3 linked regions of the Saccharomyces cerevisiae S288C genome follow. The protein of the gene in region 3 interacts with the protein of the main gene of each other region in a biochemical or structural test. Each region holds a gene or a part of one and is shown on either strand. Other genes may lie near its edges.

The links. The genes of interacting proteins can lie anywhere in the genome.
Region 1: of the proteins of RAS2 (region 3) and ERF2, one has a biochemical effect on the other in vitro, tested with the Saccharomyces cerevisiae proteins (2 studies listed by BioGRID).
Region 2: the proteins of RAS2 (region 3) and CDC25 form a complex in vitro, tested with the Saccharomyces cerevisiae proteins (6 studies listed by BioGRID, with this or other methods).

What each region holds. Positions count from the first base shown.
Region 1 is NC_001144.5:625,233-628,705, forward strand, and holds ERF2 (palmitoyltransferase ERF2), read left to right. Parts: upstream 1-1,885; coding exon 1,886-2,965; downstream 2,966-3,473. Other genes in the region: methionine aminopeptidase MAP1, read right to left, coding at 1-1,099; CDD1 (cytidine deaminase), read right to left, coding at 1,270-1,698; E3 ubiquitin-protein ligase IRC20, read right to left, coding at 3,452-3,473. UniProt on the Saccharomyces cerevisiae protein: The ERF2-SHR5 complex is a palmitoyltransferase specific for Ras proteins. Palmitoylates RAS2, which is required for its proper plasma membrane localization.
Region 2 is NC_001144.5:751,716-758,847, reverse strand, and holds CDC25 (Ras family guanine nucleotide exchange factor CDC25), read left to right. Parts: upstream 1-1,854; coding exon 1,855-6,624; downstream 6,625-7,132. Other genes in the region: ATG39 (Atg39p), read left to right, coding at 15-1,211; IMH1 (Imh1p), read left to right, coding at 7,079-7,132. UniProt on the Saccharomyces cerevisiae protein: Promotes the exchange of Ras-bound GDP by GTP. This protein positively controls the level of cellular cAMP at start, the stage at which the yeast cell division cycle is triggered.
Region 3 is NC_001146.8:439,075-442,270, reverse strand, and holds RAS2 (Ras family GTPase RAS2), read left to right. Parts: upstream 1-1,700; coding exon 1,701-2,669; downstream 2,670-3,196. Other genes in the region: PHO23 (Pho23p), read left to right, coding at 1-905; PLS1 (Pls1p), read left to right, coding at 1,352-1,474; putative tyrosine protein phosphatase OCA1, read left to right, coding at 2,988-3,196. UniProt on the Saccharomyces cerevisiae protein: The S.cerevisiae Ras proteins modulate the activity of the adenylate cyclase catalytic subunit and therefore affect the biosynthesis of cyclic-AMP.

The sequences.
Region 1 (3,473 bases), on a different chromosome or scaffold from region 3:
CATGTTCGGTAACCAACAGTGTATGTTCAAATTGAGCACTCAGTTTACCGTCTTGGGTGGTAGAAGTCCAGTCATCAGGCCAGGTCATATCCTTCCAAGTACCTTCATTAATCATAGGTTCGATGGTGAAAACCATACCTGGTTTCATAACACCAGGTGTTCTATTCTTGGCGTAGTGGGGAATATTTGGGGAACAATGGAAAAATTCACCAACACCATGTCCACAATAAGTTCTTACTACACTGCACTTATTTTCGGTAGCGTGTTTTTCAATATGATCACCTAACTCTTGGAAGGTGGTACCTGGCTTACACATTTTAATGGCTAGTTTCAAACATTCTCTTGAGGTCTCAGTAGTATTAAGAGCTTCCTTAGAAATGTTTTCGCCGACATAATATGTCTCATTCAAGTCTGCATGATAACCTTGGTAGTATAAGGAAACATCTAAATTGACAATATCACCTTCCTTCAAGACAGTTTTATCGGGCACACCGTGACAAATAACTTCATTGACAGAGGTACAAAGCGATTTAGGAAAGTTGTAATAATTAAGAGGGGAAGGGTAGGCACCTCTCTTAATTGTTTCATTGTGGACGATTTCATCTAATTCATCTGTAGTGATGCCTGGTCTGACATGGGCAGCGGCAATATCAAGAACTTCTCTACCCAACATACATGCCTTTCTAATCTTCTTAATTTGATCTTTCTTGTATATAGGGATGTTGTTAAGTCTATCATTTCTTTGTTCACTGACTGGTAGCCCATTAGCGGCCCAGTCCGGTTTAGGAATATCTTCAGGGACATACCTTCTTGGGGTAAGTGGATATGAAGCCTTCACTTTACCAGAATATTTGAATTTTGGGAAAGGATCATAAGCACCTTCCAAGCCGTCCTTAGCATTGTGCAAAGCTTTGTGAGCTTTGTAGTTGTTTTCATAACAGCTTGTGTCGCAGAAAATGGAAACGATGCCTTGTTTTAGACAAACAGGGCATTTCATTTGGGACGAAGTTTCTCTACCACATTGCAAACCGGAGCAATATATCTTGGTAGGATGAGAAGCCTGATCGGAGGTAGTAACTGTTGTAGTTGCAGTGCTCATTATACAATTTTTTTGCTTATTTTTTTCTTGCTAGGAATATACACAATAGCGTTCTTGGGATGAATAATAATAATATCAGTTTTTCTTCTTTATATGAAAAATGAAAAAAAAAAAAAATAAGTAAAAAATTTTCGCTTTCTTTTCGGGGAGCAGCCAAATAAAGATTGCTGCTAGTTTAAATGAGATGGACCAAAAGCCATGGGCAGCAGTTCTCCCATTGTCATGACTTTAGAACGAGAACCTGTGGAATTAAGCATGACTATTGGAAAGTCCTTGACCACAAATTCATTGATAAACTGCCTGCAAACGCCGCAAGGGGAAACACACTGGTCCTCAGAATCGCCACAAATGACCATGCATTTCCATCCTGAGCGATGGCCTGCCATTAGAACTTGTATCATAGCAGATCGTTCTGCACATATACAATTACTGTAGCTTGCATTCTCGACATTAGCACCAGTGAAGATAACATCGTTATTTGTTAATATGGAACAACCGACACGGAAGTGAGAATAGGGGCTATAGGAGAGTTCACACGCCTTCAGTGCCGCCCTTTTTAAGGCTTCCAGTTGTCTGTCTTCTATGCCACCTACTTTCATTACCTTATTTCTCTGCTTGAGATTCTCTGTTTGGTTTTCCTAGTTTCTTGTACATAAACAGTTTGTGTTTATTTTGTCAAACTACTCGGAAATTGGCGAGCAGCGCCTTATCAAGATTACAGTTTGCAAATATAAAAATGTAAAGGAAAGAAAGCGTAAGGTAACAAGAAGAGAAACGGGGAAGATAATGGCCTTGGTCTCTAGAAGGTCGACAAGATCGGAAAGCACCTCAATAACAAAGGAAGAGCATACAGGAGAAGGTTCATTGACGAAGTTGTTCTTCCGATGGCTTGTTACCTTGGAGGGTGATCAGGATATAAACGATGGAAAAGGTTATATATCGTTACCGAATGTCTCGAATTATATATTCTTCCTTGGTGGCAGGTTCAGGACAGTAAAGGGCGCCAAACCGTTGTGGTTAGGTGTTCTCCTTGCTATTGTATGTCCCATGGTTCTCTTCTCCATATTTGAGGCTCACAAATTGTGGCATACCCAAAATGGTTATAAAGTGCTGGTCATTTTCTTCTATTATTTTTGGGTCATAACGCTAGCATCCTTTATCAGAACAGCCACTAGTGATCCTGGCGTTCTTCCGAGAAATATTCATTTAAGTCAACTAAGAAATAATTATCAGATCCCGCAAGAATATTACAACTTGATAACACTACCAACACATTCTTCAATTTCAAAAGACATTACTATCAAGTATTGTCCATCATGTAGGATATGGAGACCACCTCGGTCTTCTCACTGTTCCACATGTAACGTCTGCGTAATGGTTCATGACCACCATTGCATATGGGTCAATAATTGCATAGGAAAAAGGAACTACCGGTTCTTTTTAATATTCCTGTTAGGTGCAATACTTTCGTCCGTCATATTATTAACTAATTGTGCCATCCATATTGCACGGGAATCAGGGGGGCCTCGCGATTGTCCCGTTGCAATATTGTTACTTTGCTATGCAGGGCTAACCTTATGGTATCCGGCAATACTGTTTACTTATCACATATTTATGGCAGGTAATCAGCAAACAACAAGGGAATTTTTGAAAGGTATTGGATCGAAAAAAAACCCTGTATTCCATCGTGTGGTCAAGGAGGAAAACATATATAATAAGGGGTCCTTTTTGAAAAATATGGGTCACTTGATGTTAGAACCAAGGGGCCCAAGCTTTGTAAGTGCCAGAAAGCCACATGAAGCTGGAGATTGGAGATTTATGGATTTATCGCCAGCACACAGCTTTGAAAAAATACAGAAAATATAAGGAAGTATAGATATAAAGAACTCAGCGACACAGTAGTACGTAAAATATAAAAAGGTTACTGAAAGGAGTGAATTCCGCCATAGTATAGGTTGAGTATACGCAAATAAACGTTGGAAATTGGCTAGAATGTTAAAAAAAACATTCATTAAAAGGTTCTTTTCGTATAACTTTTACAACAAATAAGTGGTTGTTTGGCCGAGCGGTCTAAGGCGCCTGATTCAAGAAAATATCTTGACTGCAGTTAACTGTAGGAATACTCAGGTATCGTAAGATGCAAGAGTTCGAATCTCTTAGCAACCATTATTTTTGCCTTCCGAAAATTTTGAAGCTACATATTAGCACTCTTCTTCAGATGTCAGACAACGTGCAGCATCTTTTTTTCCTACCATTGAATATATATATAGTAATTACGGCAACCGTTTATATAAAAATTCAAAAGATTAAATATTTTAATATATTAGTGTCTGGTTTAAAAGTCATACTTCTCTAATCACTACCGTGAAAAAAG
Region 2 (7,132 bases), on a different chromosome or scaffold from region 3:
TTGTCGGACCTAAAATGTCAGAAGAAGACGATCATTGGAATTTAGTTAGATTACGTAGATTACGTAAAGGGAGAGAAGGGGAAGAACAGTCATCGAAGTCAGAAATATCTTTGGATAGTTTGCATGAAAGCTCCTTTGCAGGAGAGGACGACGAGGACTTCGATGCAGATGTCCTATCGAACACTAGCAGTGAAGAGTCTGCACAGATGAATCGTATTTACGATTTTAGAACATCTAATGAATTTAGTAATGCTGGAGTTAATATTGATCAAACTGGAGTTCCCACTATTTCAGAGTCATTTGATACTTTGTCCGGCTCAAATGTTGGCGGAACGGTATTGCCAAGTATGGAGGGGTCGAAACTGAAGGATAGTACGATAAGGAATTCTAGCACACTATCGGATCATATCATAGATAAAAGTGAGGGTAAATCTGCTAAATTGAAGATGTGGCATGTTATCATGCTATCTTCATTGCTTTCCATGACCTTTTCATACCTCGCCCTCGAATATTCCCTGACTGGTGATGTGTTGGCAGGTTTTAAATCACAACAGTCATTACGTAATAATGAAAGGAAGCTGTTGTACGGCAATATCGATTTTGTTGATAAAAAATCTTACGATTCATCAAGTGACTCTTTAAGTCAGTGGGCTCCTTCAGGAAAATACTACGTCGACTTCGACAATCATATTGCATACCCATTAAAGGATGATGACCTAATGGGCTGGAGACGATACAAAACAGACTTAGTTATTTTATGGTATACAACAAAAGCTCGAATGAAAGACGGTTGGCACAAGAGAATTAACAAAATAAACGGAGGAAGAATAAAGTTACACCTATTTCTCAAGAATTCTTTTAAATCCGCTCAAGAAAGTTTAAGGGTATTGCATAAAGAACAGAAACGCCGCTGGAAAAGGCTCTTTGTGCTACTTCATAATAAATACAGGCAATTTTCTCCACATATTAAAAGGTATTTCGATCATTCTTGCCAAAAAGCAAAACAATGTTGGTCGGGATCCAGATTGCAGTTGCGCAAGCTTCGTTTCAAGTCAATGAAACCATTCCGAGTTTTTCAGTTTAAGGTTCGCAAAGATACCAACTGGTTTGTAAAGCAGCTGAAACGGTTCGGATTGAAATTACAGCATTCGAGGATGTATAAAGCGATGTCAGAATGCAGGAAAAAAAATTATTTTAAGTGCAAACACTAGATCATCCAAAACCCAGCATGAAGAATGAAATTAACAAAAGAAAAAAAAAACGACTGCTTAGTAGGAGTGTCATATATCCCTCCTTTAAATTTTTTTACACTTACTTTCCTTTTTTTATTGAGAATAGAAAAGGTGCATCTCTCTCTCTCTCTCTCTCTATCTCTATCTCTAAGGTTTTATTACTTTCATAACGTATGCTATCCATCTCTTTTCCTTTTTTTTTGTTTTGTTATTCCCTTTTTTTACTCAGTTAGATTCATACTACTATATTTACATATTCTTCGAAGCTTTTATGAGTTAAATATTTTGTTGCTTTATGGGGCAGAAAATAGTCGACGTCAGTCACCTCCAGGTTATTATGTAATTCGCTAAAACGACTTTTAAACATCGCGGGAGACGGATCTTTGACAGAGACCTGGAGGAAAAAATAAAATAGAAAAATAAGCTCAAAAGTTACAGAGAAAACTGCATCACCAACACGGCGGAGACAGTTATAGTGACTTGATCACCGTGAAGCAATTCCTTTAGTTAGATAGACTGTTTCTTTTTCGGAAAGAAATTGAATAAAAAGAGCCACATTTTTCTTCGAATAAATACTAAAAAATAAAACGAAAAAGCAAGGTGGATATTGGATAGTTGTATCATGTCCGATACTAACACGTCTATTCCCAATACAAGTTCTGCAAGGGAGGCAGGCAATGCTTCACAAACTCCATCGATCAGCTCTTCATCTAACACTTCCACTACCACTAACACAGAATCATCCTCAGCTTCTCTTTCTTCTTCCCCCTCGACAAGTGAGTTGACCAGCATTCGTCCAATTGGAATAGTAGTCGCTGCTTATGACTTTAATTATCCCATTAAAAAAGACAGTTCTTCGCAACTTTTGTCTGTACAACAAGGGGAAACCATTTATATACTTAACAAAAACTCATCTGGGTGGTGGGATGGATTAGTTATTGACGACAGTAATGGGAAAGTTAACAGAGGCTGGTTTCCTCAAAACTTCGGTAGACCTTTAAGAGACAGTCATCTCAGAAAGCACAGTCATCCGATGAAAAAATATAGTTCCAGTAAGAGCTCAAGGCGCAGCAGCTTAAATAGCTTGGGCAATAGTGCATATTTACATGTGCCTAGAAATCCGAGCAAGAGCAGGAGGGGGAGTTCTACTTTATCAGCGTCTTTATCAAATGCCCACAATGCAGAAACAAGTTCCGGCCACAATAACACCGTATCGATGAATAATTCTCCCTTTTCAGCGCCAAACGATGCTTCCCACATAACCCCTCAATCTTCGAACTTTAATTCCAATGCTAGTCTATCCCAGGATATGACAAAGAGTGCAGATGGCTCATCTGAGATGAATACAAACGCAATTATGAATAACAATGAAACAAATTTACAAACTTCTGGTGAGAAAGCAGGTCCCCCACTAGTAGCAGAAGAAACAATTAAGATATTACCGTTGGAAGAGATAGAAATGATTATTAATGGTATACGTTCGAACATTGCTTCGACTTGGTCCCCCATACCACTGATAACGAAAACATCCGATTACAAGTTGGTATACTATAACAAAGACCTTGATATATACTGTTCAGAATTACCCTTGATTTCTAACTCAATTATGGAATCCGATGACATTTGTGACAGCGAACCAAAATTCCCGCCCAATGATCATCTTGTTAACCTATATACTAGAGATCTGAGGAAAAATGCGAATATTGAGGACAGTTCTACGAGATCGAAGCAATCGGAAAGTGAACAAAATAGATCAAGCCTTCTAATGGAAAAACAGGATTCAAAAGAAACTGATGGAAATAATAACAGTATTAATGATGATGATAATAATAACGAAAATAACAAAAACGAATTCAATGAGGCTGGTCCTTCATCATTAAATTCTTTATCTGCTCCAGATTTAACGCAGAATATTCAATCAAGGGTAGTTGCCCCAAGTCGCTCTTCTATACTGGCCAAGAGTGACATCTTTTATCACTATTCAAGAGATATAAAATTGTGGACAGAATTACAAGACCTAACAGTTTATTATACTAAAACGGCTCACAAGATGTTCCTTAAAGAGAATCGTCTCAATTTCACGAAATACTTTGATTTGATATCAGATTCAATAGTCTTCACACAGTTAGGCTGCAGGCTAATGCAACATGAAATTAAAGCCAAAAGTTGCAGCAAGGAGATTAAGAAGATTTTCAAAGGTCTAATCTCTTCATTGTCAAGGATAAGTATCAATTCTCATTTATATTTCGATTCAGCTTTTCACAGAAAAAAAATGGATACTATGAATGACAAGGATAACGATAATCAGGAAAATAATTGTTCTAGGACGGAAGGGGATGATGGTAAAATTGAAGTAGATAGTGTACATGATCTAGTTTCAGTTCCATTGTCCGGTAAACGTAATGTAAGTACCAGTACAACGGATACATTGACTCCAATGAGATCATCATTCAGTACAGTCAATGAGAACGATATGGAAAATTTCTCAGTCTTAGGTCCAAGAAATAGTGTTAATTCTGTCGTAACACCAAGGACTTCAATACAAAATTCTACTTTGGAAGATTTTTCACCGTCCAACAAAAATTTTAAGTCAGCTAAATCGATTTACGAAATGGTTGATGTGGAATTCTCGAAATTTTTAAGGCATGTTCAGTTACTTTATTTTGTGTTACAGAGCTCAGTCTTCTCAGATGATAATACTTTACCACAGTTGCTCCCAAGATTTTTTAAAGGTTCATTTAGCGGTGGTTCTTGGACAAATCCATTTTCGACTTTTATTACGGATGAATTTGGTAATGCGACAAAGAACAAAGCTGTCACATCTAATGAAGTGACCGCTTCGTCGTCCAAAAATTCCTCAATATCAAGGATTCCACCAAAGATGGCAGATGCTATTGCCTCTGCGTCAGGATATAGCGCTAATTCAGAAACAAATTCCCAAATTGATTTAAAAGCAAGCAGTGCCGCGTCTGGTTCAGTTTTTACACCTTTCAACCGTCCTTCTCATAACAGAACCTTTTCAAGAGCAAGAGTTTCAAAAAGGAAGAAAAAATATCCATTAACTGTAGACACTTTGAATACAATGAAGAAGAAATCCTCGCAAATTTTTGAAAAATTAAATAATGCTACAGGTGAACACTTAAAAATTATAAGTAAACCCAAAAGCAGAATTAGGAATTTGGAAATAAATTCAAGCACATACGAACAAATAAATCAGAATGTTTTACTATTGGAGATACTGGAGAATTTAGATCTGTCAATTTTCATCAATTTGAAAAACCTGATTAAGACACCCAGTATTTTGTTGGATTTGGAAAGCGAGGAATTTTTAGTTCACGCCATGTCTTCGGTCTCCTCAGTACTAACAGAGTTTTTTGATATAAAGCAGGCTTTTCATGACATCGTCATCAGATTAATAATGACAACGCAACAAACGACCTTAGACGACCCGTATTTGTTTTCCTCAATGAGGTCCAATTTCCCTGTCGGACATCATGAACCTTTCAAGAATATCTCTAATACACCTTTGGTCAAGGGCCCCTTCCATAAAAAAAATGAACAATTGGCACTCTCCTTATTTCACGTATTGGTGAGTCAAGATGTGGAGTTCAATAACCTTGAATTTTTAAACAACTCCGACGATTTTAAAGATGCTTGTGAAAAGTATGTCGAGATTTCTAATCTTGCGTGTATTATTGTTGATCAATTGATTGAAGAAAGAGAAAATTTGCTGAACTACGCAGCAAGAATGATGAAGAATAATTTGACTGCAGAACTATTGAAAGGTGAGCAAGAAAAATGGTTTGATATTTATTCCGAGGACTATAGTGATGACGATTCAGAAAATGATGAAGCTATCATCGATGACGAATTAGGATCTGAGGACTATATTGAACGCAAAGCTGCGAACATAGAGAAAAACCTTCCATGGTTTTTAACTTCAGATTATGAAACTAGTCTTGTCTATGACTCAAGAGGAAAAATTCGTGGCGGGACAAAAGAGGCACTGATTGAACATTTAACCAGTCATGAACTTGTTGATGCGGCTTTCAATGTTACAATGTTAATAACTTTCAGAAGTATATTAACCACAAGAGAGTTTTTTTATGCCCTGATTTACAGGTACAACTTGTATCCTCCTGAAGGGCTGAGTTACGATGATTACAATATTTGGATAGAAAAAAAGTCAAACCCGATTAAATGCCGTGTGGTCAACATTATGAGAACATTTTTGACGCAGTATTGGACAAGAAATTATTATGAACCTGGCATACCACTGATTCTAAATTTTGCCAAGATGGTTGTATCGGAGAAAATACCGGGGGCAGAGGATCTTTTGCAAAAGATAAATGAAAAACTGATAAATGAGAATGAGAAAGAACCAGTGGATCCTAAGCAACAAGATTCGGTATCGGCAGTCGTACAGACAACTAAACGTGACAATAAATCACCGATACACATGTCTTCGTCTTCTTTACCATCTTCTGCTTCTTCAGCGTTTTTTAGATTGAAGAAATTGAAGCTCTTGGATATTGACCCATACACATATGCCACACAATTGACTGTACTTGAACATGACTTATACCTCAGGATCACTATGTTTGAATGCTTGGATAGGGCATGGGGTACCAAGTATTGTAATATGGGTGGTTCTCCGAACATTACGAAATTTATAGCTAATGCTAATACGCTAACTAATTTTGTTTCTCATACCATTGTAAAACAGGCAGATGTCAAGACACGTTCAAAATTAACGCAATATTTTGTTACCGTTGCCCAGCATTGTAAAGAGTTGAATAATTTTTCTTCAATGACTGCCATAGTGTCCGCTTTGTATTCCTCCCCAATCTACCGACTGAAAAAGACATGGGATTTAGTTTCCACTGAGTCGAAGGACCTTCTGAAGAACCTAAACAACCTTATGGATTCCAAGAGAAATTTTGTGAAGTATAGAGAGCTGTTGCGATCCGTGACGGACGTTGCATGTGTTCCCTTTTTTGGTGTATACCTATCTGATTTAACATTTACGTTTGTCGGAAACCCAGATTTTCTTCACAATTCAACCAACATAATAAACTTCAGCAAGAGGACTAAAATCGCAAATATAGTGGAGGAAATTATAAGCTTTAAAAGATTCCATTACAAGCTGAAACGATTGGATGATATTCAGACCGTTATAGAAGCGTCTTTGGAAAATGTCCCCCACATTGAAAAGCAGTATCAATTATCACTGCAAGTGGAACCGAGATCAGGAAACACCAAAGGCAGTACGCATGCTTCTTCTGCTAGCGGTACAAAAACTGCAAAATTCCTAAGTGAATTTACAGATGATAAAAATGGCAATTTTTTGAAGCTAGGTAAGAAAAAACCTCCTTCTAGGTTATTTCGATAAAAGTTTATACAATTTGCTAATCAAGAAGAACCTTAGCTTTATGTTTGATTGCTACACTCTATTATTTAAGATGGCTGCTTTTACTTAATATTCTTCGTGATAATACTGTACTGGTGGAGTGTTTTTCGTTTTCGAGGATTTGAGAGTACGCTTCATTTGCAGTTCTTCTTGATAAAGTTCGTTTTATATATATATATCTATTTTATATCTTTATATATTTTATTACACCCAGTTAAGTTATCGATCCAAGATTTTAAATGCCCGATTAGAGGAAACTTATTACCTGAAAAAATATCAATTAGTGATTCTATGAAAAGCTATTACCCGCATTCTCATAGTTCGGATTTTCAGATCCAGCAATATAAGAGAACCAAATGTAGCAGAAACGTCAAATAGTAAGCAACAGGAGTTACATTTGAGGTGATTTTAACTTAGGGAAACATTTGCTGATTCAATGTTCAAACAGCTGTCACAAATTGGTAAGAATCTTACCGATGAATTAGCGAAG
Region 3 (3,196 bases):
CATTACTACACGAAATAGATGCAAAATGTGTGCATTCTATGCCGAATTTGAACGAGAGGATAGATAAGTTCTTGAAGAAAGACTTCAATAAAGATCACCAAACACAAGTAAGACTGCTCAATAATATCAACAAGATTTATGAAGAACTGATGCCATCGCTGGAGGAGAAAATGCATGTCTCATCCATTATGCTGGATAATCTAGACAGATTGACGTCCCGGTTAGAATTGGCGTATGAAGTCGCAATCAAGAACACAGAAATTCCTAGAGGTTTAAGACTGGGTGTGGACAACCATCCAGCAATGCACCTCCATCATGAACTAATGGAAAAAATAGAGAGCAAATCAAACAGCAAATCGTCGCAGGCACTGAAGAGCGAATCAAGAAGAGAAGCCATGGCTGCCAACAGGAGGCAGGGCGAACATTACTCCGCCAGCACACACCAACAAGACGACTCAAAGAACGACGCAAACTACGGAGGCAGCAGGCACGAGAGCCAAGACCACACTGGTAACAACACAAACTCAAGAAAAAGAGCCAACGCTGCCAATACCAACAACGCCGATCCAGAGACCAAAAAACGCAAGAGGAGAGTTGCCACCACAGCCGTTTCACCAAGCACTATCAGCACGGCAACTGCCGTCAATAATGGCAGGATAGGTACATCTACAGCGTCCAGGGGAGTTAGCAGCGTCGGAAACAGCAACAACAGCAGGATATCAAGACCAAAAACCAACGACTACGGCGAACCGCTCTACTGCTACTGTAACCAAGTGGCATACGGGGAAATGGTGGGGTGTGATGGCGCAGACTGTGAGCTAGAATGGTTCCATTTGCCATGTATTGGACTCGAAACTCTACCTAAGGGCAAGTGGTATTGCGACGACTGCAAAAAAAAACTGTGAAATAGCTCTCGGGCGAATATCGCCTTAAGGAAATATCTACTAAATACCGAATATATACATATATATATATCTTAGCTACATATATATATATCTTAGCGTTTTAACGGGCGTGGCCGTATCAATGGATCTGCAAGATACTTGGGCCCTACCGGTCTAGATAAAATATTCAAATCGATGGTGATGACGGCACGATAAAACGTAATAAATGATGAAATGACTTGTCACGGCGTAGCAGCGCCAGCAGCTCAGTCTAATCGCCGTACAGTGGGTGGTGTGGCTAATCGCTTAGGCTTTTTATTCAGAAGGACCTTTTCATTCACCTCGCCCCCCTTGGAGGTTCCTGCCTGACCCCTTTGCCCCTGGCCTCGCCCCTGCGCCATGTCTCTGCCTGGAGCGTGACATTTAGGACGGTGAAGCTAGGCAGGCCTTCAGAAATTAAACGGAACATGACAGCAAAGACGAAACAAAGCTGGAATAAGGGGATCTGGGAAAACGGGAAACAAGGTTCACATCAGCAAACATTTCTACCGAAAATCTGGGTAAACATTTATAGTACCCCAACATCTTAAGTTTTAGCCGTTGTCTTCTCTTATCGCCTAGAATCGCTCATTTCAAGCGTAACGCAATCCGGCTTTTGTTTTTTTTCCATTTTATTCATCCACTCTTTATCTGACTCTTCTGCACTATATTAATCAACTAGGAGAAAATTACTTGAGCAGAAAGATACGAGAGAATTACGGATAAAAAAACCAAGTTAACCGTTTTCGAATTGAAAGGAGATATACAGAAAAAAAAATGCCTTTGAACAAGTCGAACATAAGAGAGTACAAGCTAGTCGTCGTTGGTGGTGGTGGTGTTGGTAAATCTGCTTTGACCATACAATTGACCCAATCGCACTTTGTAGATGAATACGATCCCACAATTGAGGATTCATACAGGAAGCAAGTGGTGATTGATGATGAAGTGTCTATATTGGACATTTTGGATACTGCAGGGCAGGAAGAATACTCTGCTATGAGGGAACAATACATGCGCAACGGCGAAGGATTCCTATTGGTTTACTCTATAACGTCCAAGTCGTCTCTTGATGAGCTTATGACTTACTATCAACAGATATTGAGAGTCAAAGATACCGACTATGTTCCAATTGTGGTTGTTGGTAACAAATCTGATTTAGAAAACGAAAAACAGGTCTCTTACCAGGACGGGTTGAACATGGCAAAGCAAATGAACGCTCCTTTCTTGGAGACATCTGCTAAGCAAGCAATCAACGTGGAAGAGGCGTTTTACACTCTAGCACGTTTAGTTAGAGACGAAGGCGGCAAGTACAACAAGACTTTGACGGAAAATGACAACTCCAAGCAAACTTCTCAAGATACAAAAGGGAGCGGTGCCAACTCTGTGCCTAGAAATAGCGGTGGCCACAGGAAGATGAGCAATGCTGCCAACGGTAAAAATGTGAACAGTAGCACAACTGTCGTGAATGCCAGGAATGCAAGCATAGAGAGTAAGACAGGGTTGGCAGGCAACCAGGCGACAAATGGTAAGACACAAACTGATCGCACCAATATAGACAATTCCACGGGCCAAGCTGGTCAGGCCAACGCTCAAAGCGCTAATACGGTTAATAATCGTGTAAATAATAATAGTAAGGCCGGTCAAGTTTCAAATGCTAAACAGGCTAGGAAGCAGCAAGCTGCACCCGGCGGTAACACCAGTGAAGCCTCCAAGAGCGGATCGGGTGGCTGTTGTATTATAAGTTAATAAAAAGGAAATAGTTGTAGAAACGCTAAGACGAAAAGAACTCTATAAAGTTGAAACGAGTACACACATTTATAAATATATACAAAAGTAAATAAAAAAGTGACTGTTTTTATATTGCTTATTGCCATTTGCTATTTCCGTTTCATTCTTGTTAACATTGGAAACTTTGGGCAATATCATATGGTTGCCGGGTAAAGGAAAAAACAAACAACATCGCTATAACATAAAATTGGACATTGCAGAGAGTCATCAATCACATCCATTTTCACAAGAAAGAGGTGTTCCACCTGGAATAACAAGCTTCTCTTTCCCCTTAGAATGACATCTAAAGTTGGTGAATATGAGGACGTTCCAGAGGATGAGTCCCGCCTCACAGAAGAGAACGTATCCGTACCTGAAGAAGAAGTAGAAGACGAAGACGAGGAAGAAGACGACGATGATGATCATATATATATCAATGAAGAAACAGAATCTGGTCGCGAAAAGGTCTTGGTATCACATGCCCCACAAGAACGTATCGTTCCACC